3 linked regions of the Caenorhabditis elegans genome follow. The protein of the gene in region 1 interacts with the protein of each later gene in a pairwise test. Each region holds a gene or a part of one and is shown on either strand. Other genes may lie near its edges.

What was found.
Region 2: the proteins of gex-3 (region 1) and gei-6 interact in a two-hybrid assay, tested with the Caenorhabditis elegans proteins (one large-scale study listed by BioGRID).
Region 3: the proteins of gex-3 (region 1) and gei-8 interact in a two-hybrid assay, tested with the Caenorhabditis elegans proteins (one large-scale study listed by BioGRID).

Annotation. Positions count from the first base shown.
Region 1 is NC_003282.8:12,401,326-12,409,668, reverse strand, and holds gex-3 (Membrane-associated protein gex-3), read right to left. Parts: upstream 5,239-8,343; 5' UTR 5,235-5,238; coding exon 5,123-5,234; intron 5,073-5,122; coding exon 4,972-5,072; intron 4,926-4,971; coding exon 4,776-4,925; intron 4,706-4,775; coding exon 4,334-4,705; intron 4,285-4,333; coding exon 4,236-4,284; intron 4,180-4,235; coding exon 3,966-4,179; intron 3,914-3,965; coding exon 3,604-3,913; intron 3,554-3,603; coding exon 2,812-3,553; intron 2,754-2,811; coding exon 2,529-2,753; intron 2,478-2,528; coding exon 1,656-2,477; intron 1,607-1,655; coding exon 1,494-1,606; intron 1,445-1,493; coding exon 1,229-1,444; 3' UTR 979-1,228; downstream 1-978. Other genes in the region: dsb-1 (Double-Strand Break factor), read right to left, coding at 1-228, 277-443, 493-611, 657-734. UniProt on the Caenorhabditis elegans protein: Rac effector required for tissue morphogenesis, cell migrations and egg laying. May play a role in egg laying and in yolk protein clatherin-mediated endocytosis by oocytes during oogenesis.
Region 2 is NC_003283.11:7,225,335-7,233,507, forward strand, and holds gei-6 (GEX Interacting protein), read right to left. Parts: upstream 5,515-8,173; 5' UTR 5,512-5,514; coding exon 5,437-5,511; intron 5,390-5,436; coding exon 5,231-5,389; intron 5,187-5,230; coding exon 5,072-5,186; intron 5,026-5,071; coding exon 4,642-5,025; intron 4,596-4,641; coding exon 3,558-4,595; intron 3,511-3,557; coding exon 2,923-3,510; intron 2,870-2,922; coding exon 2,206-2,869; intron 1,501-2,205; coding exon 1,203-1,500; 3' UTR 1,042-1,202; downstream 1-1,041. Other genes in the region: fkb-3 (peptidylprolyl isomerase), read left to right, coding at 35-391, 467-895; krr-1 (KRR1 small subunit processome component), read left to right, coding at 5,856-6,011, 6,211-6,677, 6,728-7,039, 7,098-7,275; C05C8.5 (Exonuclease domain-containing protein), read right to left, coding at 7,403-7,682, 7,730-8,173.
Region 3 is NC_003281.10:8,117,692-8,124,084, reverse strand, and holds the start of gei-8 (Nuclear receptor corepressor 1), read left to right. Parts: upstream 1-2,852; 5' UTR 2,853-3,024; coding exon 3,025-3,032; intron 3,033-3,279; coding exon 3,280-3,366; intron 3,367-3,422; coding exon 3,423-4,069; intron 4,070-4,314; coding exon 4,315-4,387; intron 4,388-4,437; coding exon 4,438-4,627; intron 4,628-5,707; coding exon 5,708-6,042; intron 6,043-6,088; coding exon 6,089-6,393. UniProt on the Caenorhabditis elegans protein: Mediates transcriptional repression by certain nuclear receptors. Plays a role in development and neuronal function. May play a role in muscle-specific oxidative mitochondrial metabolism.

The DNA of each region.
Region 1 (8,343 bases):
ACGCTGGCCTATTGTAAGGATTGTAGACTGGCTGTGAGAAGAATTCATTTGCTGTGAGTGCTGGCATCCGGGAACTTTCACCAATGTTGGTGGAATACGTATGTGATAAGTTTCTTGCCGCGGATTTCTTCACCGAGCCACCAATATCAATATCGCATGGTTGGGAGAAGGATGTCGGCTGTGATGACGATCCTCCCTTCCGTTTCTCGACACTGTTGTACCACACATCTATAATTCAAAAATGAAACTTGAAACTATTAAAAGAATAAAGAATACCGGTATTTGTGGATGAGCGATTCAAATGATCCTTAACTGGAGTCTCCGAAATATAAGCAAATTTTCTGACAGTTGACAGAAAATTCTCCCGATCTTCGCCACGAAGAGTTAATCGGAAACCTTGAGCCTGGTTGTTTACAATCACGAACAAATTTGTGTTCTTCATTCTGAAAACCGGGCAATTTGACTTTAATTTCTCAAACAACAAAGACTCACTTCAAACTCGGATACCTAGAAACTTCCATGTTACAATAAACGGTCTCGATCGGCTCGACTCCATGAATAACCGTCAGCTTCCTGCTATTCACCTCCATAACAACGCGAATATCTTTGCCCTGCAAATTTAACTTTTCGATACAGAATTCATCTATTTTTAAAACCTCTTGTCGATTACCGCTTCCTCTCAATTGCTTATACTTTATGATCGGCCACTGGAGTGTCTGCAATTCAGGAAACATACTGAAGAGACTGCAAAAACATAAATAATTTTTTTTTACTAAAAATGTCTAAAAATTTCGACCTCATTGGACCTCAAAATGTGAAAAAATTCAAAATTGCATGCCGGTCGTGGCGAGACCCATCCATCACTTTTACGCGCGAATTCAAATTCAAATTACCAAGCATATCTAATTTAGCTAATTCTCGTTTTTTTAACTTAAAATTTAATCGCATTTATGTAATAGATAAAATAAAAATTTTTGATAAATTGATAAAAAGTTTATTATGACGACAAACTGCAATAAATTAAAGCCAAATGGAAGGCAAAATGAGTACTTGGGAGCAATGATTCACACGAAAATGCAGGGAATAATAGTCAAAAAGGCGGTATTCGGAAGCGGGAACCCGTATAGTAATGGTTCGTTGAAGAAAGAAAAATAAAATAAATAAAATACAGGCACAGGAAGTATGTGAGAAGGGATCGTAGCTGTACATATTGGGATCGCAGATAAAATTATTGAGCATCAGCCTCGTAGCATTGTTGGTAGGCTGTACGGACGAGATTATATGGGAAACAGGTTTCAAGAACATCCATCGACAGCCAACGGTTTTTCCGAACCATCTGTTCAAGGATAATGTAGAGAGTTGTGTGGGAACGAAGAACGTCGTCGGATATTTGTCGACTGTTATCACGTTCATGAATAGTTCGTAGAATACCCGAGGACGCGAGCTGAAAATTTTTCTAGGTGAGAATATGTGTTAATAATGATAGAGCTAACCGCCAAGAACTCCTTCATCCTCGACTGGATATCATTTTGCTCGTGGAGATGGAAAAGAGCTGATCCGATAGTGTTAATCGCCATTGGAACACAGTGACTATTGTTCAAGCTGGCTGAAATTGTTTATTTTTAATTTTTGCAAAAAGCTGTAAAAGTATGTACCTTGAATGCTAGGCTTGTAAGACGAAAGATCCGACATTCCAATTCGTGGAATACAGATAGCGACGGCAACCATCAATAGACAACTATTAACATAGTGTTCTTGAGGGTGAATATTCGGATTTTGAGCACGAACCGCATTCACCAACGACATATCAACTGGTCCTGTGACTCCCATCGCAGCTGACATTTCTCCAATTTTAACTTTATCAACATCGTCCAAATTGTGATAAAGCATATCAAATGATGCTTGAAGAAATGGCAATTTAGATTCGACGATATGACGAAGAGCATCGTGGAGAGCATCACGAAACAGACAAATCTGTCCGATAATAATAGTTCTTTGCAGAATTGCATCAGCTGCGCATGTTGCGTTCGGAGTTTTCTTGTCCTTTGGTTCGACGCTCAAAAGATTTAAAACATCCTTCATCTTTTCAGCATTATCGAAATTAGATCTAGCAATCTGTAGAGCATCTTTGTATGTTGCAACAATCTTGCTCATCTCCATAATTTGACTGGCCACGTGCCAAATCAGCCGTTCAGTCATCAACTTTACTCCATAAGGTCCGATAATTTGAACCAATGCTCTCAATTCTTGAGGATCTGAATAATGATCGGGCATGAACGAGAGTTGTTCCTGTCCTGATGATAACATTGTTCGTAGATGCTCACTCCAAACCATATGACCAGATGAAGCACGACGGAGCAAAACTTCGAGATACCATTTCGTGTAGAGTGCTGCGATTGTGTCTTTATTCTTGGAATCAACGAGTTGAGTTTGTTGTAGAAGAGTTGTTTGCATTGTATTACTGATATCCACAGAAACTGAAATTCCATTTATGAGAATATTTATAGATTATTTTAAAAACCACTTACTTGCTGTATCAAGATTTTGAAGAACCGTCATGTAGGCTTGTAGCGCAAGGAGCATTTCACTTGGTCTTTTTGGATTACTTGCATGTGGTTGACCTTCCCAGAACATTCCATGAAGCAATTCTACAAATTTAGTTTCAAGGGACTGCGCTAGGTACGTCCTCGGTGCAAATGTGTGATCAGCAACGTAAATTTGACGATGAGCTCCGAGAGCTGCAGAGATTTCAACTGAAAAGTGGGAAATTTGTGATATAAAATCTAATTTAAAAAACGTTTTAAAACTTACGAAGAGTTGTTTGCAACTTATCAGGCATTGTTAATGCTTGACGATCAACTCGATAACTTTCTTCTCCAGCAATGAAATAATCTCGAGCGGCTGCTGCGGCCGCCGCTGCAGCTTTTCCAGATCCTTTCTGTTGAACAACTTGAGCAACAACTCTTACAGCCACGGCGCTCGGTGTCATTTGATAAGCTAATCCGAATTCATGTTCAGCCACTTTTTCCAGGATATATGACAATTGTTTGCACGTCTCTTCAATTACAGAATTGCATTGAGCCAAGGCTTTTTCAGTGATAAATGCTTTTTCTTCAGGACACATGTCATGGAGGGCGCTTGTGAAATGCGCGGCAAGACGTGCAAAACTGAGCACATATCGAGCTTGAGCAGGTAGCTGGAGACAGTTGAGCCAATGTTTTTCAGCGAGTTTTGGATAGAAGCAGTATAATGATAAATCACTTGTTTCCCTTAGCATCTCGTCTTGCAAATCGATCATTTTCAGATGAAAAACTGAAGTATTCATGTATATTGCGAGTTTTTTATGTCTTGAAAGTTGGAAATGGCTCCGAGCAGCAGATGTCCAAGCTTGAAATCTAAACCAGTCTAGTCGAAGAGCACGAAGATCCGTATCAGAGTTGATATTTCCTATTTCGTTGGCAAAATCGGTCAAAAGAACCGCTTCTTCCTGGGTGAGGCCATTTGCTTGGTTAATCTCTTCAGAAACAACAATTGAATCATAGCTAGACACGTACTGAAAATAAAAAAGATTTAAAATAGATAAATTTAAAGTTTTAACAAAACCTGTAGATAGTATCTTTGAATCACTGCATAATATTTCGTAACGAGATCTCTTAATTCCAGCATATAAAATAGCAGTTCTGGAAGTTGCCTGTCAACAAGCTCCTCGACCATTCTGCTGCCTTTTTTGCTGATAGCAGGAACTTCAACTTGATGCCGTAGAAGCCATATGACCTCATCTCTTCCTGCTCCAAGAGCCATCCAGACATAGAGAATTTTCGGGCCAAGTAGTCCGGGCTGATCTCGTAGTAAAAGTGACAGCTCTCGAAGAGAACTTCTAAGGAAGCGGCGACGGTCTGCGTGGACGGCAACTCTGAAATACAAATTATTAGAAAACGCTTTGTTTATCATATTTTTTAACTTACGCAGTAACAGATGCATGATTGAACGCATCTTTAACATCTTGTAACCGTTTGCTTTTTTCTTTGGAAGATTCTAAAAACGCTTGAATCTCTTGATGAACAATAAATGTTTCGTCTCGGAAAACGCGAAGACACAGATTCATTTGAAGTGCCAGCTGCCACATGTGCCTAATGTTGTCATCGTTAAGAAGAGTTGAATGGCATACTGTTCCGCAGACTGAAAATATTACAATTTTAATAAACATTTTAATACTAATTTGTATATTAACTTACACACAATCCATCGATCAATGACGTCGAGTGATAGATATTCGCATGCAATCTGAAACGATTTACATAAATAATTTTCCATTAAATAAAAACTTGCTCACAGTTTCTGTTTGAGCAGCATATAAAATTTGTGCTGGAGCAGCGGTCAACGAGAAAACATTTGATGTTCTCCATGAATCTGCTGTCTTGTTTCTGCGCTGATATGTGTGTGTAACAGAAGAAAGAGCTGAATAAATTAGCCTGTTCAGTGGTCCGAGATCTTCATGAAGCTTTTTTAACGGATTTTCATAATCAAGAATCATTTGTCCTAATCTTGGAAATGATGCTTCACTTTGTCCGTGTTGTAGATCATATGCCGCATTAAAAAGTCCAAGAACAGCTTTCCGGTCTTCAATTCTTGATAAAAGAATCATCATTGTGACGAGATGTACAACAAGATTCAAATAACTCGTTGTCAGGTCGTAATTGAGCGTCTAAAAAATAAAATTTTAGCTTAAACATTATACGAACGATATAAATATTTAAAATCAATAATATACTCACCACATCCAGCTGACATTGACATGATTCCATAGTTGTCAAAACTTGCATAATGTGATCTTTTAAATCAAGAATATCAGCAAATGTGTAGTAATATAGCGATAAAGATTTTGTAATTTCCGTGGACTTTTCTTGTACATATTCGAACGTCGACTGAAATTAATTTCGGCATGAGAAATCAACAATTTGAACTACTCACTGAATTCGATCTGCAATCAACAACAGGAAACTTTCTAACTATATGTTTGATTGCACCTTCCATCTTCTTGTCGCTAAGAAATTGTGGTTTCACTTTTGAATCTGAAATCTTCAGCATTTTATAACAACAGAAATTTTCAAAGACTACTCACCGCCGCTTGATTTCTTAATATTGTATATCCGTGTCATCATTCCAGCAGCACGATCATTCAGTATCACAAGTTTTTCAGCAATTTTCACCTGTCTGGCATCTTTGTAAGCCATTTTGCTGAAAATTGGAGAGAAAATTGAAGGGGAAATGAGTCACAAATTGGATTACAGTTTAAAGGCGCATTCAATTAAACAAGAGGTGTCTCTCACCACGGCTGTGCAAGCATGCTCTATTGCGCTCTTTTGTTGGCGGCAGTTTGAACGAGAGAGGGAGACCGTTATAAAAAATGTAGACCACGAAAAATCTAGACCACGAAAATATTTAAAAAAGCTATTTTCAGACAGATTTTCAGGTTTTTACAAAAGAAGTTTATTTAATGGGGAATAAACTTCTTGTTTTATTGCAATTTGTCACCGCAGAATATGATCTAGATCACCGTGAATGGCACTGACGAGGTTCAAGAACTGGAAAAACGAACAAAAAAAAATATTTGGAATGTTTGGAAAAAAAAAACATAAAATCAAACTGAAGAACTATTCACCAAATATGTTGCTTTTATGAACTTTCAAGCTTTTTGTGAACTTTTGTGTCGACTTTTCTTAAAAATCATATTTTTCCAAATTATTTCCCCACTTTATGTATAGTGATTGTTTAGTGAGAAGAACAAAAATTCCTTGTAAATCCCTAAATACAGACAGACAGTTTCACATCCAATTACGAAATATTTCATTTGATATTTCCAAATATTTCCAATTTATATCTCTTCGTCCCTCCGTGGCAGCTTAGTTCATCAAACCTTTCCACCGTCGATTCGAATCGGCTTTCTTATCAGGTCAAATGCTATAGATAGCTGGTCTCTCTCCCTCTCTCTCTCTCTATCTCTCTCTCTCTGATAGTCCGAAGAAATTCTCACATCGTTTACAATAGCGAACAACACCGAAATGGCTGTAGATGGAGGAGAAGAAGAAGAAGCATGAGACCAGCAAGGATCGGGAAACTGTGAAAGAGAGAAACGGGTTTGACGAAAGGCCGGACGGATGGTTAGCCTCTCTTTCTCTCCCTCTTTCCCGGGAGGCCTTCCTTTCATTCAAATGTTTCCATCGCTTTTCGTTGAATACTTCCACTCACTTTTGTTACTTCTACACATTTTTCTTCATTTCATATCTTTTTATGAAACTTTTTGGATTCAAAGTTTTCACTTGTTCGTTTCATTTAACTTGCAAAAAAAACAACTATCTTCATCTTAAATCTGTCAGAAAAGGTGCGAAGTCATCGCATTCATACAGCTTCTCCATCTTCTACAGCTCGCCTCATTCAATCTATTCACTGTGTCAAACGTGTTTCTAGTTTCCATATGTCTATACAACTTTTATCTCTTCCGTTCTCTGTAATACAATTATTTTCTGTTCTTTTGAATCGTTTTACACACATTGCGTAATACCGATCGAACAGTTTCTATCGGGTCCTGGCACGCGCGGAATTTTTCAACTACCGTACCTCTTTGATTGTTTCGTTAGTTGAAATGTTTCGATCGTGACAAGACTCAAGTTGGTGATTTTAAATTAAAATTCAAAGTTTTTGATTTAAGTATTTAATAGCATAAACTTTGACAATGCTGCACTGATTTTCCAAATTAGGCTCCGCCCATATCTTGGCTCTTTTGAAATTTTACATTGCATTTTCTCGTACTTTACTTCTACATAGTCTACGAACACAGAATAGATACCTAAAATAAACTCAAAAATTCCATACTTTTTGAAACTGTGCATGGCAAGCTTTTGACCTAAAAGCTTATATCTCATAGTCAGACATTTCAGATGCTATCCAGGATTCGTCAACTAATAAGATATTCATCTTAAAAGTTTCCAATTTTCTTAGTTCAAGACTTTTTGATAACTCTAAAGTCTTACTAGATATAAATATAATTCTAAAACTTTTGCAATTTTCTATATTTCGTTACAGCCCAAATATTCTCAAAACATAATTATTCCAAATGTTGACTTGTAATTTGATCTAAACAAAAGAACTTATTCAAATCCAAACATCAGTTTTTCGTGTTTCTTTGGCAAATAAATTTGCAAAACCCGGAAAGGGAAAGCAGTTCAGTTCCCACCTGGAACAGGTCTTTCATTGAAAGACCTGACTGAACATGTCTTTGAAATTCATAAACAAAATGATTTGGTGATAAAATAATGATGGCAAGCGGAAGGAGAAGATTCGAATGTGGTGGTGTTAATGCCTACAGGCATAGGTTTAGGCGGCCTGCGCCTATAGGTCTATAGGCGCACAGGCAGGCACCGATTATGTGTGTTGCAAATGTCCTCGTTTCTCGTTGTTGTGTCGAAGCTTTTAAATAAAATATTATACAGAAAAATAGATAAATACTTGTTCTTTTAAAAAAATTAAATTTCTTTTGTTTGAAAATTTCGATAAAATTGCTTAAAATTTCCTCAAAGTCGAAATGGTAGCATTACAACTTTGAGTAAGTTTTTGAGAAGAATCTTGAAACATTCAAATATAGGAATACAAAATTATTTTCAGAAAACACACATATTTTTCTGTATGTTATGTAAGTTTCCGCTTTGAAACTTTAAGAAAATAATTGGAAAAGCGGGAAGTGTGTCTTTTCTGGCAGACATCGCTTTGATTATAAATGGATCTTTGTTTTCTTAATATTAAATTTTGCAGCTTTATACTTTCACTTTCACCACCTTCTTATCATTTATTGTAAATGCCATATGCTATGCTTATACTCTAAAATCATCTTCCTTCTCTAAACAATCCAGTTTTTGTTTCATCTCATTTTCTTCTAATCATATCGAAAGTATCATTCGATCTATTTTTCTATTCTCCAACTGCTTCGAATCCTTTCCTTCTGAAAGGGAGACGCTTTTCCCATTGACCTACTAATTGTCTAAGCTCTCCTCAATCCACGTACTGTTTCATCCCTACGACGGAACGGTCGTTTGAGAATTCAAAAGTTATGAGAGGTTTATCCGCCTCATTTCATCGTTTTGTACTTTCTCGTAACTGGTTTCAAATGAGCTGGAAATAGGGGAACATTTATGGCAGTTGATTCAATATATGGTACCGAATGGTAGGCAAGCACTTGCCCACTTGCCTACCGCCTATTTCCGCATTTTGGCAAGAAATCTGGCTATGAGAGCACAGTGTAGATATACAAAATCACTCAGTACAATGCAACTGTTGAAAGTCCAATTT
Region 2 (8,173 bases), on another chromosome or scaffold:
ACCATTTCAGTGACTAAACCGAACCAGCACAAAAATGCTGAAATCAATTATTGCCTCAGCATTATTTGCCATCTGTTGGGCAGCAAATGACCGTTCATGGACCACTGATGAAGGTGTCAAGATTGAAATTATCAAGAAAATTGGAGACTCAAAATGCAAAATCAAATCCGAGTCTGGAGATCAATTGGAGCAATTTTACAAGCTTTCCGACAAGGAAGGTAAGGTGATTGGAAGCAACTTTGGCCAAAAGCCGTACACTTTCACTCTTGGAAAAGGCGAGGTGATTCATGGAATGGAAATTGCAATGGAGGGAATGTGTGTCGGCGAACAGCGAAAAGTGATCATTCCACCAGAGCAAGGATTCGACGAAGATGGAGATGAAGTAGAAGGAGTAAGTTGATTTATATTTTTTAAAATCTATTTTTAAATTGCAAAACAAATAAAATGGTAATTTGTACTATTCTAGAAAGGAGAAACTCTATACTACTTCGTCGAGCTGAAATCAATCTTCCGTCCAAAACCCGGAGCCAAGTGGATCACTGATGAAGGAGTTCACATTCACATTACTCACGAGGTAGAGGGATGCACCGAAAAGGCTCAAGCCGGAGATACACTTCATCAACAGTACACACTAAATCTCGAGGATGGATCTTTCATCGATTCGAGCTGGAGCCGCAATCGTCCATTTATCTTCAAAATGGGCTCCGGACAAGTTATCAAGGGAATGGACATTGCCATGGAAGGAATGTGTCAGGGAGAGAAGAGAAAAGTTGTTATTCCACCAGAGCTCGCTTATGGAGAAAATGGAAGACCTCCAGCAATTCCAGGAAACTCGTACCTTCACTTCGATCTCTCACTTGAGAAACTTGTCAGACCAGGAAAAGAGGAACTCTAGATTAACTGAAAATCCCAACTTTCATGAATTTCTAACTTATTTTTAATAGAACAATAAATTTGTATTAAAATGAATAAAAGAAAAAGTACACAATTGTGATCCACTGAACACAAGAAATGAATATAAAATATCTAAAAAGAATAAGTAATTTTAAAACAGTTCATTACGAAAAAAGGAATTGTATAAAAAGCAAAAACTATACATCAGGTATTTATAAAATTAAAACACACTACTTATAAAATAGTACTAGATGAGATCTTTGCGATCGATTAGAGGAATTGAACAAGGTGAGTCCTGAAAGAGCATTTTAGCCGTAAAATGAACGTGGGTTTCCTCGTCCTTGATTCGGAGGCCCAGCGTATCCAAATGGTGGCTGAGACGGTGGGAACATTCGAGATTGTTGTGGAGGTTGCGGCGGGGAAAAATCACGTGGTTGTGGTGGATAGAAGCCGTTTCCAGGAGCATTATTAAAGAACGGAGATTGTTGAGGTGGCATAGGACGCGGAGGCATCGGACGTGGTCCACTCATCGCAAAATTGTCCTGTATAGGAACTTTTCCGAATGGAGTATCTTGAGCTCGATGCCATGGTAGGTCGGAGAAGCTGCTAAAATTGAAATTGGATATTAAAACTGAATAACTTATGGTTTGGAATTCATCTGATGGGTATTTTGCCCTAAATGACAGAGAACATTCTCACTGCATCGAATATAAATAACTGTTAAAAAATTTGTACATTTTTAATGATTTCTCCAATTTTGAAAAAAATAAGAAGGGATGAATTATTTCTGAATTACATGAGTGGCATAATTTTCGACATTTTTGCGTTTTTCGGCCATACTGATTGGTTTTTCTTCATTTTTTAAATTTTATAATATAAATTTTATAAAAACATAATTTATCAATTTTTAGACATTTTTCCGCACAAAAGTGTTTCAAATATAAATTATCGAATTTCAGGCTAATTTTAAAGTTTCAGCGAATTTATTTCGAATTTTCACGTTTTCTTTACGGAAAAATGTTTGACAACTGACAAATAAAGTTTCATATTATAAAAAATCAGTATCGCCTGAAAACGCGAAAATGACGTCACTCATTTGCGAAGAGAATTCAAAAAAATGGTTCAGCACTTTAAATTTTTTACAAAATTGATAAAATCATTTTTAAAAATTTAGAAAAGTTGAATCTTTTAAAGTATTGCTCGATTTTTTATTTTTTTTTCTGCGATATTTCTGAACTTTAGAATATTTTTAGAATTTTAAAGACTTTTCAAATTATGAAATAAATTGGTTTTTGTAATTAAAAAACGTACTTATTTGAACGTGAACCACTTGGCCCAGACGGAGAATCGCTCCAAGGCCTGTCCATACCCAAATCCATTTGGAAACCTCGATTCTGATTCGATTGTATTCCATATTGTTGCTGAGGTTGTTGACGCCATGGCGACTGATTTGATGGAGGTGGTGATGGTTGTCGGGATCTTTGCCAGGGAGGAGCTTGTGAATTACCAGTACGATTGACGGGTCTCATATTTGGTTTCTTATTTGGAGAGCCATTGAACTTATTCTGCTTCTGAGCTGGAGTATTTGGCTTATTCGGATTTTGAGCCGGCGATGCTTTGACAGTGGGAGTCGTTGATTCTGCTGGCTTTATCTTTTTCATCATCTCTTCTTTTTCTTTTTCCTTCACACTGTCATCTAGTTTTTCCATTCCCAATCCTGGTATTTCACCGGACTCGTCACTTTTCTGAGACAATCCGAGAGCTGGAGCAAATTCGGCTTGTGGAGGTTTTTCACTAAGTTTCGGAATCTTTTTCAAATTAGTGAACCTGCCGACACTTGTACTGGCGGGGCCTGGGGTAGACGATGACGAAGGTGTAGAAGCGGCAGACACCATTTTGTTTGGCGGAACAGAATTTGACGTTTTTGCTTTTTTGGGTGGAGTCGCAGTAACACCGGACGGAGCAGGATTTGGCTCTGAAATAAATAAATAAATAATTTTCCAGTTAATAAATCTGAAAAAAACTTACTTTTCTGTACCTCTGCGGCTTCCTCTACGACGCGTTTTCTTGTACTCATTACTCGGTTCATCTCTTCCAAATAAGATTTCGAGTACGACGGAGTGCTTCCACCGCCACTAAAATTATCAGCTTGAACTTTAGAAAGAGCTTCAAATAGAGAATTAGAAGCAGCTGCTGAAGTGGATTTTGCCAGTTTTTCCCACGGATTCGGTTGAGAAGAAGGTGCAACCTTCGGCCTCTCTGATTCAGCATTCGGCGGTTTCAATGGAACTCCAAAAGCAGAAACCGATTTTGGAATGGAAGGCGCCGGAGCATTCAATTTTTCTTTCGGAATCCATGATTCAAAACCGGACGCGATTTGTGGCGGCGCCTTCTTTTCAACAATTTGTTGTATCAACGGCTTGGCGACAGCTTTCGGTGCAGGATTTAGTGTAGCTTGAGGAGATGAATGAGGTGGAGTGTCAACTATCTCCCCATCTTCCGGAGGAGAAACCCTTTCAGGATCATTCGGTGTACACGCCACGCTTCTCGGTGTTGTTATACTTTTAGGCGTTGCAGCGATTTCAGCGATTTTGTCCAGCAGCTCTTTATCCTTTTCTGAAAATTAAATATTTTGAAATTTAAATAATTAGAAAAATAATAACCTTTCAAAGTATGAGTCAATTTTATGACATCTTTCTTGTAGCGTTCCGCATATGCTTTCCAAGAATCACGTTCGTATTTTATCGAATCACAATCTTTACCCAATTTCTGTGCAGCAGACTCGAATAACGCGGCTCTCTCCACCGCATCATTCCTTTCCTGATTTGCCCGTGCACATTTTTCAGTCATTTCAGCCACTTCCATCGTCATTTTTTTGCGTATCTTCTCGACAGTTTTGCAGCGAGTACACGTCTCGTTATCCGCCAGAAAAAGTCGATCATTCAAGTTCTTCACAGCAGTTTCCGCCTGTTCGATGGCTTTATTTTGTTCTTTTTTGCATACATCTCTTGCTCGCAGATAGAATTCAGCTCGATCCTTCTCATATGTTAGTTCTTGTTGGAGGAACTCAACTTTTGCCAGCAGAGCGCTGTACTCCAATTTCTGATCTTCTGCGTTTTTTTGCATCTGTTGCTTATAAGCTTCATATGTCCTTGTCTGGCTTTTTATTACTGCTACAACCTCGGCTTCATGAGCTTTGAATTCTTCTTTTCTCTCAACCAAATCAGCACGAATATTTCGGAAACTGTCGGAAAATTCGAGTCGAGTAGACCTTCCGAAGTCTTTCAACGTTTTCACTGCCAACAGACTTTTCTCCTCGTTCTCTTCATATTTTAAAATTCGCTTCTCCTGCTCGCTAATCGTTCTAATCATAAGTAGAAACTTTTTCTTCAAAACCATTGGCATATCATTTAACCGAGCAGCAACCGGCTCTCCAAGGGCATCTCTGACAGTTGTATTGAAGCATTCCTTGAGATATGTTGATTTCAATAAGAGATCCGTATCGGTTTGGCAGCAAGTTTCCGCAGTTTTGGACACATGTGACGTTATAGGAGAACTTTTGAAAAATTCAGAAGTATGTGTTGGCTTTGTTGATACACTCGAAATCGTCGCAGCTCTTGGTGAGATTTTTATGGGTCGACCTCTCTTTTTGTCGATTGGTGTGACAGTTGGCGTATTTCTTAATTTAGTTTCTCTCGGACCTGAAAATAAAATATTTGGCAACAATATTCGAAAACTCGTACTTACGAGCATTTTCTTGGTCCTTTTTACTGATTTTCTCGGAACTCGTGGACTGAACTTGAGAGACTTTGGCTTTGCTCTTCTTCCGAGTTCCCCAATTGTTTTTCTTTGATTTTCCACCAAACGCATTTTTGGGTTTCTTTTTTGGGATGGTGGTTTTTTGTTCAGGTGTTTCCTCATCACCATCATCCTCATCGATGCCTTCATCATCTTCTTTAGCAATTTCTTCGTCCTTCTCATCCGAATTCCCATTAGTCGACGTGTCAGAATTGGAAACTCCCGAACCTTTTTCAGGTACTTGACATACACTATTTGAGCGTGAAGCGGATCTGGCTCTTTTCTGAGAACGAAGGAATTCAAGTCTTTCACTATTGGACAATATTCTTCCATCTGAAATTGTAATTTTAAATTTTCTATAAAAGTATCGTGTCTCTACCTTCATTCACAAACGAAAATACTCCTCTGACTTTCTTGGAGGACATTCCAAAAAAAGTTTTGCAATTACTGCAATAGCTTTTGAAGATATCCTCTGTTTTGCCGCCACTCGCTGGCTGAAATTTTTCCAATTTGTTTTAGCTTATCCTGTACAACCAACCTGGCGCTGCTTGAAAAACGATAGCGTAGCCAATACTGAACACGTATCGCATTTTACAGGATCAGTGGGCTTTAGTACTGACAACGAAGAAGTAGTCGAATCATTCGAGCTTTCATCAATTGGCGAATCATTATTCTCCGATGATGTTCCCTCGATTGGCTGAACAAGATTATAATGAAATTGAACGCAACAAAATAAAAAATTACGTCAATCTGATCAGTCGGATGCGCAGAAGGCAAGTATACGCTATGGTCCTCTGCTTCAGTTGTTGCGCCGTTCATTACCTGCCACTTATTTGTTTAAAAAAACAGGTAAAATAGACGCAAATTGAAACAAGATTTAACTTTCAGAATTATATAAAACACAAAAACAGTTAAAACATAAGAAAAGCCAGCAGAAGCAGTGTAAATTCCGCACAGAAAAATTAATCGACAAACCAGTGGGCGGAGCGTGAAGCAGGAGTCGCAACCCCCGCGCACTTTTTATGCAATGCTGCCGCACGAATTCCTCTCTCAGTTTTTGTTCCCTTTTTCTTCATTTTTAATCAATTTCTTCTGATTTTTTTTGTATATAACTTTATTTTATTTTGTATAAAACATTAAATATTAATTAAAAATAATTTAAGATGAGCAACGTTGACAAAAAAGCTAAACCTCGTGGAGAATACGAGCCCGAATGGGCTGGTGAACCGGAGGAAGAGAAGAAGACGCGGAAAGAGACTGCAAAAATGTTCGGACCACAGAAAGATGCAGAGTGGTGGGATATTAACACTTTCAGCAAGGTATGTTTTTGATATTGTATTCTAAATAAATATATTTCGATTTTTGAAGTTACCTGCTAAATTTACTTAAAACTAATTTTAAAATCTCCAAAACACTAAATATTTTCTGAAAAATTAAATGTTAAGCAATGAAAAAAGTTGGTTCCATGTAATTTTTCTCTTGTAGTATGAACCTGAAGAAAATGAATACATTTTTCAGGAAGACAATCCGAATGGTCTACTCCAAGAGTCATCATTTTCTTCATTATTCCCCAAATATCGCGAAAAGTATATTAAAGAAAGTTGGCCACTCATCGAAAAAGCTCTAGGAGAGCATTTCCTGAAAGCAGATTTGGATCTCCTCGAGGGAACAATGTGTGTCCGAACTACTCGTAAAACTTGGGATCCTTATATAATCATGAAGGCTCGCGAGGTCATCAAGCTTCTATCCCGTAGTGTGCCTTATGAACAAGCGATTCGTGTTCTCGAAGATGAAATCTATTGCGAGATTATCAAAATCTCTTCAATGGTTCGCAATAAAGAACGATTTGTGAAGCGTAGAGCTCGGCTAATTGGAAACGATGGTGCTACCTTGAAAGCTCTCGAATTGCTGACACAGTGCTATGTTTGTGTTCAAGGAGGAACTGTTTGTGCTGTTGGACCGCTTGCTGGACTGAAACAAATCAAGTGAGTTGAAAATATATTCTGACTCTCTTTGAAATCATAAAAAATTTCAGTCAAATCGTCACTGATTGTATGAAAAATATTCACCCAATCTACAATATTAAAACTATGATGATCAAAAGGGAATTATCTAAAAATGATGAATTGAAAGATGCAAACTGGGATGCTTATCTTCCAAACTACCGAAAGAAGGTTCAATCTGCAACTACAACAAAGGAAGCAAAGAAGAAGAAGGCTTACAAGATGAAGCCCAAGAAGGAGTTCACTCCGTTCCCACCGGCTCCAGTTATGAGCAAGATTGACAAGCAGATTGAAAGCGGAGAATATTTTATTCGCGAGAACGAAAGAAAGATGAACAAAAAGAGGTAAGTATTCTTAATTCAAAAATCGTAACGGAATTTAATAAATTTATGAAATTTTCAGAGCGAAATTGGAAGCATCGGCGGTGAAGACTGTGGAAAAACAGAAGCAAAAGTTGAAAGTGTATCAAGCAAAAGAGGAAGCTCCGCGAGAAAAACAGAACAAGAAGCGACCGAACGACGCGCCGATCGATTTGGAAAAGCTGAAAAAGAAGGCAAAGCTCAGTAAAGCCGCCAAGTAAATTTTATGATTTCACTGTTTCGTTTCTTTGTTATCAATGTTGTTGTTTTGTTGGAAATTGAAGTTTAAATTAAACCAAATTTTATTTGTTATTCATTTTATGAGAAACTTAATATTAAAAAAAAAGATTATTTGACTCTTACATAGAGCACGTTTTTAGTGGAATTAGACAAGATCATCATAATCAGTGAGTTTTTAGCCGTGGCGGCAACCAGTTTTTCAAGAATCCGATTCAGTGCCTCCGCGTTGTCAGGAACTTCTCCTTGCTCTGAATCAGTTTCTTCCAATGGTTCTATTTTTTCTTTGTCAATCTCCACGAGGATTACACTGTCATTGAGCATTTCAGAAGCTACACTGTTGACGAATCCATTATAGGAGGGAAAAGAGGAATGAAGTTTTGAGCGGACCCTGAAATAAATTAGGTACTTAAACTTTATTATTTTTAAATATCTTACTTTTTTGATATGGGAGGACAGTCGAGAATAGCAGTATCGAAAGCACACATCACAGATTTCATTTTATCCTTTTTCAAATAATTCCCGATTGGAGATGCTTTCTTTTCATGATCCACATCAAGTGTATCCTGCCAATGAAAATCTCCTTGGGCACTTATCCCGATCTTCACACAATGCACACATTTCGAAGGAGTCGATACAAATCTGCATCTGCAATTGGCAACTGTGCAAGCAACAACTGTTGGCTGAGAGCAATCAGTACACGGTTTTGATGTGATTTCAGCAGCCGTGACAATTTTCTTCTCAACTGCTCCATTGTTTTTTGCGTATTCAGAATATTTCCATCCGAAGCTCACGTTCCCGAACATCAATCCTTTTTCGAGTTTCAGCTGAGCGAGGCGCATCGCTGCCCACGCATCTTCATACGAGCAATGACCGAATTCT
Region 3 (6,393 bases), on another chromosome or scaffold:
TTCACAAATGTGTTTATTTGATATAGAAAAATAAGTTTATAAAATTCCTTATACGAAACTGTACAGAAAGTGTATACCAATTAAATATTGAGCAGCTAGTTTCAAGTTTTTTTGCGAGACGATACTCACTTCGATTGAATTTTCAAATGGAATTCAAACCAAAATATCATTACTGAATACTTCAAAAAGTATATTTTCAGCTGTAGAATTAATTTAAGTTCAATTTCGTGCCTTTTATGAAACGTACATTTATGCTTAGCCAGACAGATGCATTAATTTTTGTGAAATGTTTCGTTGTATCACAGTGCTAATTTCAGTCTTTTGGGGTATTCTATTAGAAGATCAGTTTTTTCTATCACCTCGTATTCCAATTTCACATCCACAGACAGCTACATACTTTCCATTTTCTCGATTAGTGCGCACTTTGTGGTGTTACACTGCTCATTCTTGTTTTTTTTCCCTATATAGTATTTAGCTGCCACATCAGTGAAAAATTGAGTAACAATTTTATAACTTGAAAAAAAAGGTTTTCATTAAAAACTCACATTTAACATTTTTCCAGTTCAGTATTTTTCCCAAGTTTTACGAATGCAATTTTCTCTAGTGAAAATCAGATTCTGCTCAAGAAAAAAGACGCAGAGGGCAGCTATACTTGCAGCATAATTTTTGTTTTCTCAAAATCATATTAACTAGGAAAACACTCGCAAAAAAATTATGTTCGTTATATTTTCAAGAACTCTAATTCTACTTCGATGCATACGACATTTGTATTCTTGGAATACATTTGTGCATATATTTTTTTGTTGTTTTCTGACTTTATCAAATCACTGATTATGTACAAAAATTTCAAACAGAATGCACAACATTTTCTAGAAAGGACCGCTAGCTTTTTCATAGAAAATACATAAACTTTATGCGTAATTATTAATTACCTCTAAAATTATTAATTAATATCATAACCCCATCATCTACAATTCTCCTAACTCTGCACTACACTCTTCTTTAACTCCGAGTTTGTTTCCCACCGGATTCAGAATTTCACTGGACTTCACGCGCTTGCACCCGATGTTTTCTGTTTTTCCACTTTTCTGCCAGCAATGCAATTGATGATGCTGAAAAAGAAAAAGTTGATTATCGGAAGAGGAGAGAGGAAAATGGAAAGAGAGAGAGAGGTGTTAGATGAAAATCGGATGGATTCATTCTTGTCGTTCTCATTCATTTTTGGCACTTTCATCTGCATCAATCCGTATGAGTGTGAGCAAAAAATGAGAGACATCCGATCATCTTCTCCTCATTTTCATATCTTTTTTGCAGCTTCTCATCTTTTGCTCATTTCCGTGTCTATTTGATGTTTTAGTTTTCACGTTCCTATTAATATTATGTTATTCTGCCTGAGAAGCCGGGTTTTTTTATGCAGCTGTTGCCCTTTTAGATGTCACTAAATATCCTAAATTATATATATTGTTGAATATAAATACGGATTTATCTTTCTTACTGGAAATGAAAAATACGATAGTTCAATAAAAGATAGTCTTTTAATTTTTCCTTCTTTGTTAATCTTTTGCAGTTTTAGTAAAATTCGTAGGTATACATACTATGGGACAAGATTCATATTTATTTTCTCATTTTTCCAAACAACTTTTACCTTCACAATTTTTTTTTAAGTATCAAGTCGAAGTTGATAGACCCTATTTTCCACAATTATAAGTGTACTTATTTTTAAAACAACCAATCTCTAACTTCTATTCATCTTTTAAGAATTGTTATTCGCCAAAAACGATATTGCAGTCACCAGATACGTTTCCTATTATTTAATTTCTGATATTCTTTGAAATTTTATTCGCGTCCATTGCTCTGAATTTCCAGCTTTTTCGCAACAAAACACGTTTTGTTCTGATAATTGCTCATGGGTTTGTTACTAGAAAATAACTAGAAAAAAAATATGAGCGCACGTTTCCATTAATCCAAACTTCCTGGAAGTGTCCGTGCTTACTTTTTCCCCGTTTTTGCCCCGACTGCTAATTAAGTTCACCTGAACTTTTATACTCTCAATCCAATCTCCTATCTATCTCTTTCACTTTCTCGGTTGTTTGTCTTTCTTTCTCATAACATCTGCAATGTTCCTTTTCTTCATTTATTTCACTATTTTCGTGTTCTTATTTTCTTTATTTTCTTCTTTTATTCTGATGATGTTGATGACAATGACGAATATGCAATAAGGAATGTAGTTCGCGTAGCAATAGATGAAGAGAGCAAAGGGGGACATTAGAATCTAGATTTATTTTTTGTCTTCCGCTTTTCAGTCTCATTTTTTGGATCATTGCTCTCACAACTCATTTAAGAAAGTTATGAGAAAATTGATTAGTTGTTAAAATACTAACTAGGCTAATCTGTCATTTTCGAAGTACTCTATTTTCTTTTTTAAATCCAATATTTGCGATACTATGATGTTGCTCACAACTAGATGCTCTAGAAACCAAACATTCAAGTTCTATTTTGCCTTACGCGAAGTAAAACTATTCTTAAAATAAGGTAATTTTCTGAAAAATGGAGTGTTCTCTGTCCAGTGTAGGCCAAAAGAAGTCTAAAACATTTTTTGAAGAGACTTTCGAAAAAAATAGACTTTAAGAACAATTTTGGAAAACTAAAATTTTCATTTAGTTATTTGTCATTTTTCATATTCTCGAAACACTTAATACCAATTAGAATCATGTTAACCTTTAAATGAAAACCAAGCTAATCCTCCTACTTTTGGATTATGTTTTTTATGCTTGACTTCCGTTTATTTTTCGTTTAGTTTATGTTTTTCTATGTTCTGAAAATTTTCTTTTCTCTTATTTATTGATTTTCAGGTTTTATTCCTCTTATCACATAATCACAAGTGGAAGGAGGGAATAGGATATCAGAGGTGTAAAACGACCATTGAATAATCAGAAAATTGCTCTTCCGGTCGAAAGTCGTCTTTGTATTTCATCGGGACGGTGGGAAAGACGACACTAGACTGCGAAGAGATACAAAGAAATCATGGAAAGGTTTGTATAATTTAAAGTTGGAAAATCTTGGGGTAGCTTCAATTGTGTTTATTATTTCAAAAATTTTTTTTTTCAGTCTAAAATTCAGAAATACCAATTTTTCTAAAAACTCCAGAAAGAATTAAATATCCAAGTTTTAAAAAATGTGATTTTTCAAAACGACAAACATTTCCATTCTCGATACTCCAACTTCATTCTTAATTAATTAATACTTAATAAAACTTAATAAATAACCAATTTTTTTCAGCTTCAAAGAGCTCGCCCGTGAATATGATGAGAAGTTCAAAGCCTTTCAAGATGATCTTCAAAAATGGGAAGAAACTTCAGAAAGAAAGTGAGTTTTAAGCAATTTCTCCGAGAAAGTTAGGTTTTAAATTTCATTTTTTACAGAGAATACGCAGAGTTTCATCGTGTTCAAGCAGAATCTGAATTCCCAGAGCTGAAAAGAGAACGGGAGGATCGAGAACGATGGGCTCGTGCTGAACGAATCCGCGGTGAAGATGAGAAGAGTATGCTGGCAAAAGAGCACGCCGACAAGAAAATTCGGCTAGGTGTTGCAAAAATCCCACGACTTCTCACAGAGAGTGAACGAAAAATGGATGAATTTGTGGAACGACCCGGTTCAATTCTGAAAGATATGAAGAAAGAACATCGACAATCAGTGTTGGATCGTCTTGAAGAATGGAGCCCTGAAGAGAGATCATTGTTTAAGAGTCGACAAGCAGATCATGTGAAGATTTTCCATGGACTAACCGAGTTTTTTGTTGATAAAACCGCATCGGATCTTGTGCTTTTTTACTATATGAACAAGAAAACCGAAGACTACAAGAAGGACTTCAAACCTAAGAAACGAGTCACAAAATATAAAGTTGGAGCATTTCCATCGGTTGAAGAGCTTGCATACTTTCGAATGATGCCTCCTTTGGATTTTTCTTCATTTCCCAAAAACTCTCTAATGTGTTATTTTTGCTGTCGTACAGTCAACGGAATCGATCTTAATGGAACATTTATGCCAAAAGAGGCTTATGAAATTTTTGGTAAGTATAATGTTCAAATTTGTATTTCAAAATCTTCAATCTCCCTTTATATCCCCTTTTGAGACGAATTCCACCTTTTCACAGACGTAGAGAAAACGACGCAGAACCCTGCAATTTCTGATTCGTTTTGTTCTAGGCGATGTGAAAATTTGTATCTGAAAAAAATAAAATAGGAATACATTTTTCAACCCTACAATAAAAAATTTGAGAAGTCAGAAGTGTGTATCTATAAATATATATTTCAGCTATCTGTCCTGATGAAGATCGAGTTGTTTGTTCGGGTTGTCGTGAAGAAGCTGCAAAACTATATAAAGACAAGTAAGTTGTAGAAATCTTTGAAACATAATTAGAATTACCATAATTTTCAGTCGGTGCTTTGGTAATCGATGCTCAAATCAGAAGAAACGAGCAAATCGAGTCAATAGGAATATTCCTCTAGATTTCGCCGACTTTCCAGTCAGAACGCGTGCATTCATCATGGATAAACTCGGATCGACACGTGTTGCTGTCAAATTTTGTACTCCATGCAAGAATGCCTTGACTCGGTGGATTAATGATGTGAGTTGTTAAAACGGGGATATCTACTATTCTGAAAAACAACCATATGACATCCGAAAAAGTTATCAACGAGGGGTCTGAATTGTACTGTAAAAACGATTTCCCGATTTCTTGTATCTTTTAACCAATACATCCTTTGTGGATTAGGAAATATGTAGTAGTAAAGAGCAAGATGTAGGGTCGTAAAGTGAGAGCTCATAATCGGAGGAACATGCAATTACTTGGAAAGGGTGAATGCGGTGGTCCTCTTTTTTGATACGACACTCTCTCTCTCATGCACATACATTTATTTTCGGATAATAGGGAGATCATAAAAGTACAGTATCATGTGTGATTCGTGACTGATTTGCATTCGAATAAAAAATAAAACATATTCGTTCACTCTGTTTTATCATTTTTTTACTATCGGGAATTTTTAAAATTATATTTTTCGACAAATTTTCGCGCTTTTCTTCCGGTATCTTTTTTAATTCGATTAAATACGTCAAATTGCAAAAGGAACATCGATTGAAAAAAAAACCTAGAAATTTTTATCAGTTTTCGGTGTATTGAGACTGATATCTAGTACGCTTAAAGTCCACTGAAAACCAATAACAATTATTGTAAGACTAAAATTTTCACTTTGAAATGAAAATTAGCAACTCCACATATTTATTCTGAGGTACAACAGTTTATAAAACGTTAATGATTAAAAAATTTTTAGAAATGTTTTGTTCAAGAATGACAATCTATTACTTTTGGGCCCTCTTCAAACCCAAACATTGTGCTTTGCTCGAGATTGATCTTTCTCATTTATATTCTGACACATTCATCTCTTGAAAGGAGTGTGCTGAGAATAAGCAAGCTTCAGAATTGAACGATCCTACTCTATTAAACCAGGAAGTGTTGTATATTCTATGCACGGCATTCTCAGTGATAAAGGCGATTTTGTTGGTCGAAAATTATATTTGTAAAGTCCCATGAGAGAATGGGCTCTTTTATGGTTGGGAAAGAGAACACGGTACCTGTCACCGTTGATATGAGAAATTAAAATGTGAAAATAAAAATATGAAAAGCAACAAAAACAATAAATATTTTCAGGTGAACAACAAAGAGGAAACAATAATGGCAGAACTCTTGAACTATGAGGGACAAGTTGGTTGGACGGATGATGAAAAGACAAAACTTGTGACATTAATTAACTCATCACCGACACTTGATTGGGTTTCCATTTCGGAAGGAATGAATCGTCGACCGAATGAGTGCAAAATGCAATATGATGCTATGAATGGTGTCAAAACTCAGCCAATGATTGAAGAAGTTGATGAAGAAGATGGAAATGGTCAGGAAGAAGGAGGTGATGCATTGGTGAATACACCTACAACATCAAGCGCTGCTGCCAGAAGAAGTGGATTAGCGAGGAATGCTAAAAAACCGTAAGTTTATATGAAAAGTTGAAAATATAGTAACTTTCTATTACAGAGTGCGAACACCTCGGGCTCCTCGTTCAGCTGGAGGTCGTAGAACAGGCGGAGCTGTTACTCGTGCTCAGGCAGTGCCAAAACCCGTCGAGGATCTTGGAGAGGAAATTGATGAAATGGAGATTGAAGATAATGATGAGGATGCAAGCAGAGGTAGTAGAGGGAAGGATTCCAAGGCACCAAGTGATCGAGATGGGTCTCCAGCTGATATGGAAGGTGATTCACCTGAAGGACAGGATCAAGACGCTGATCAAGACCAAGATCAAGATCAGGATGTAGATGAAGAGGAAGAGGAGGTGATTGTCA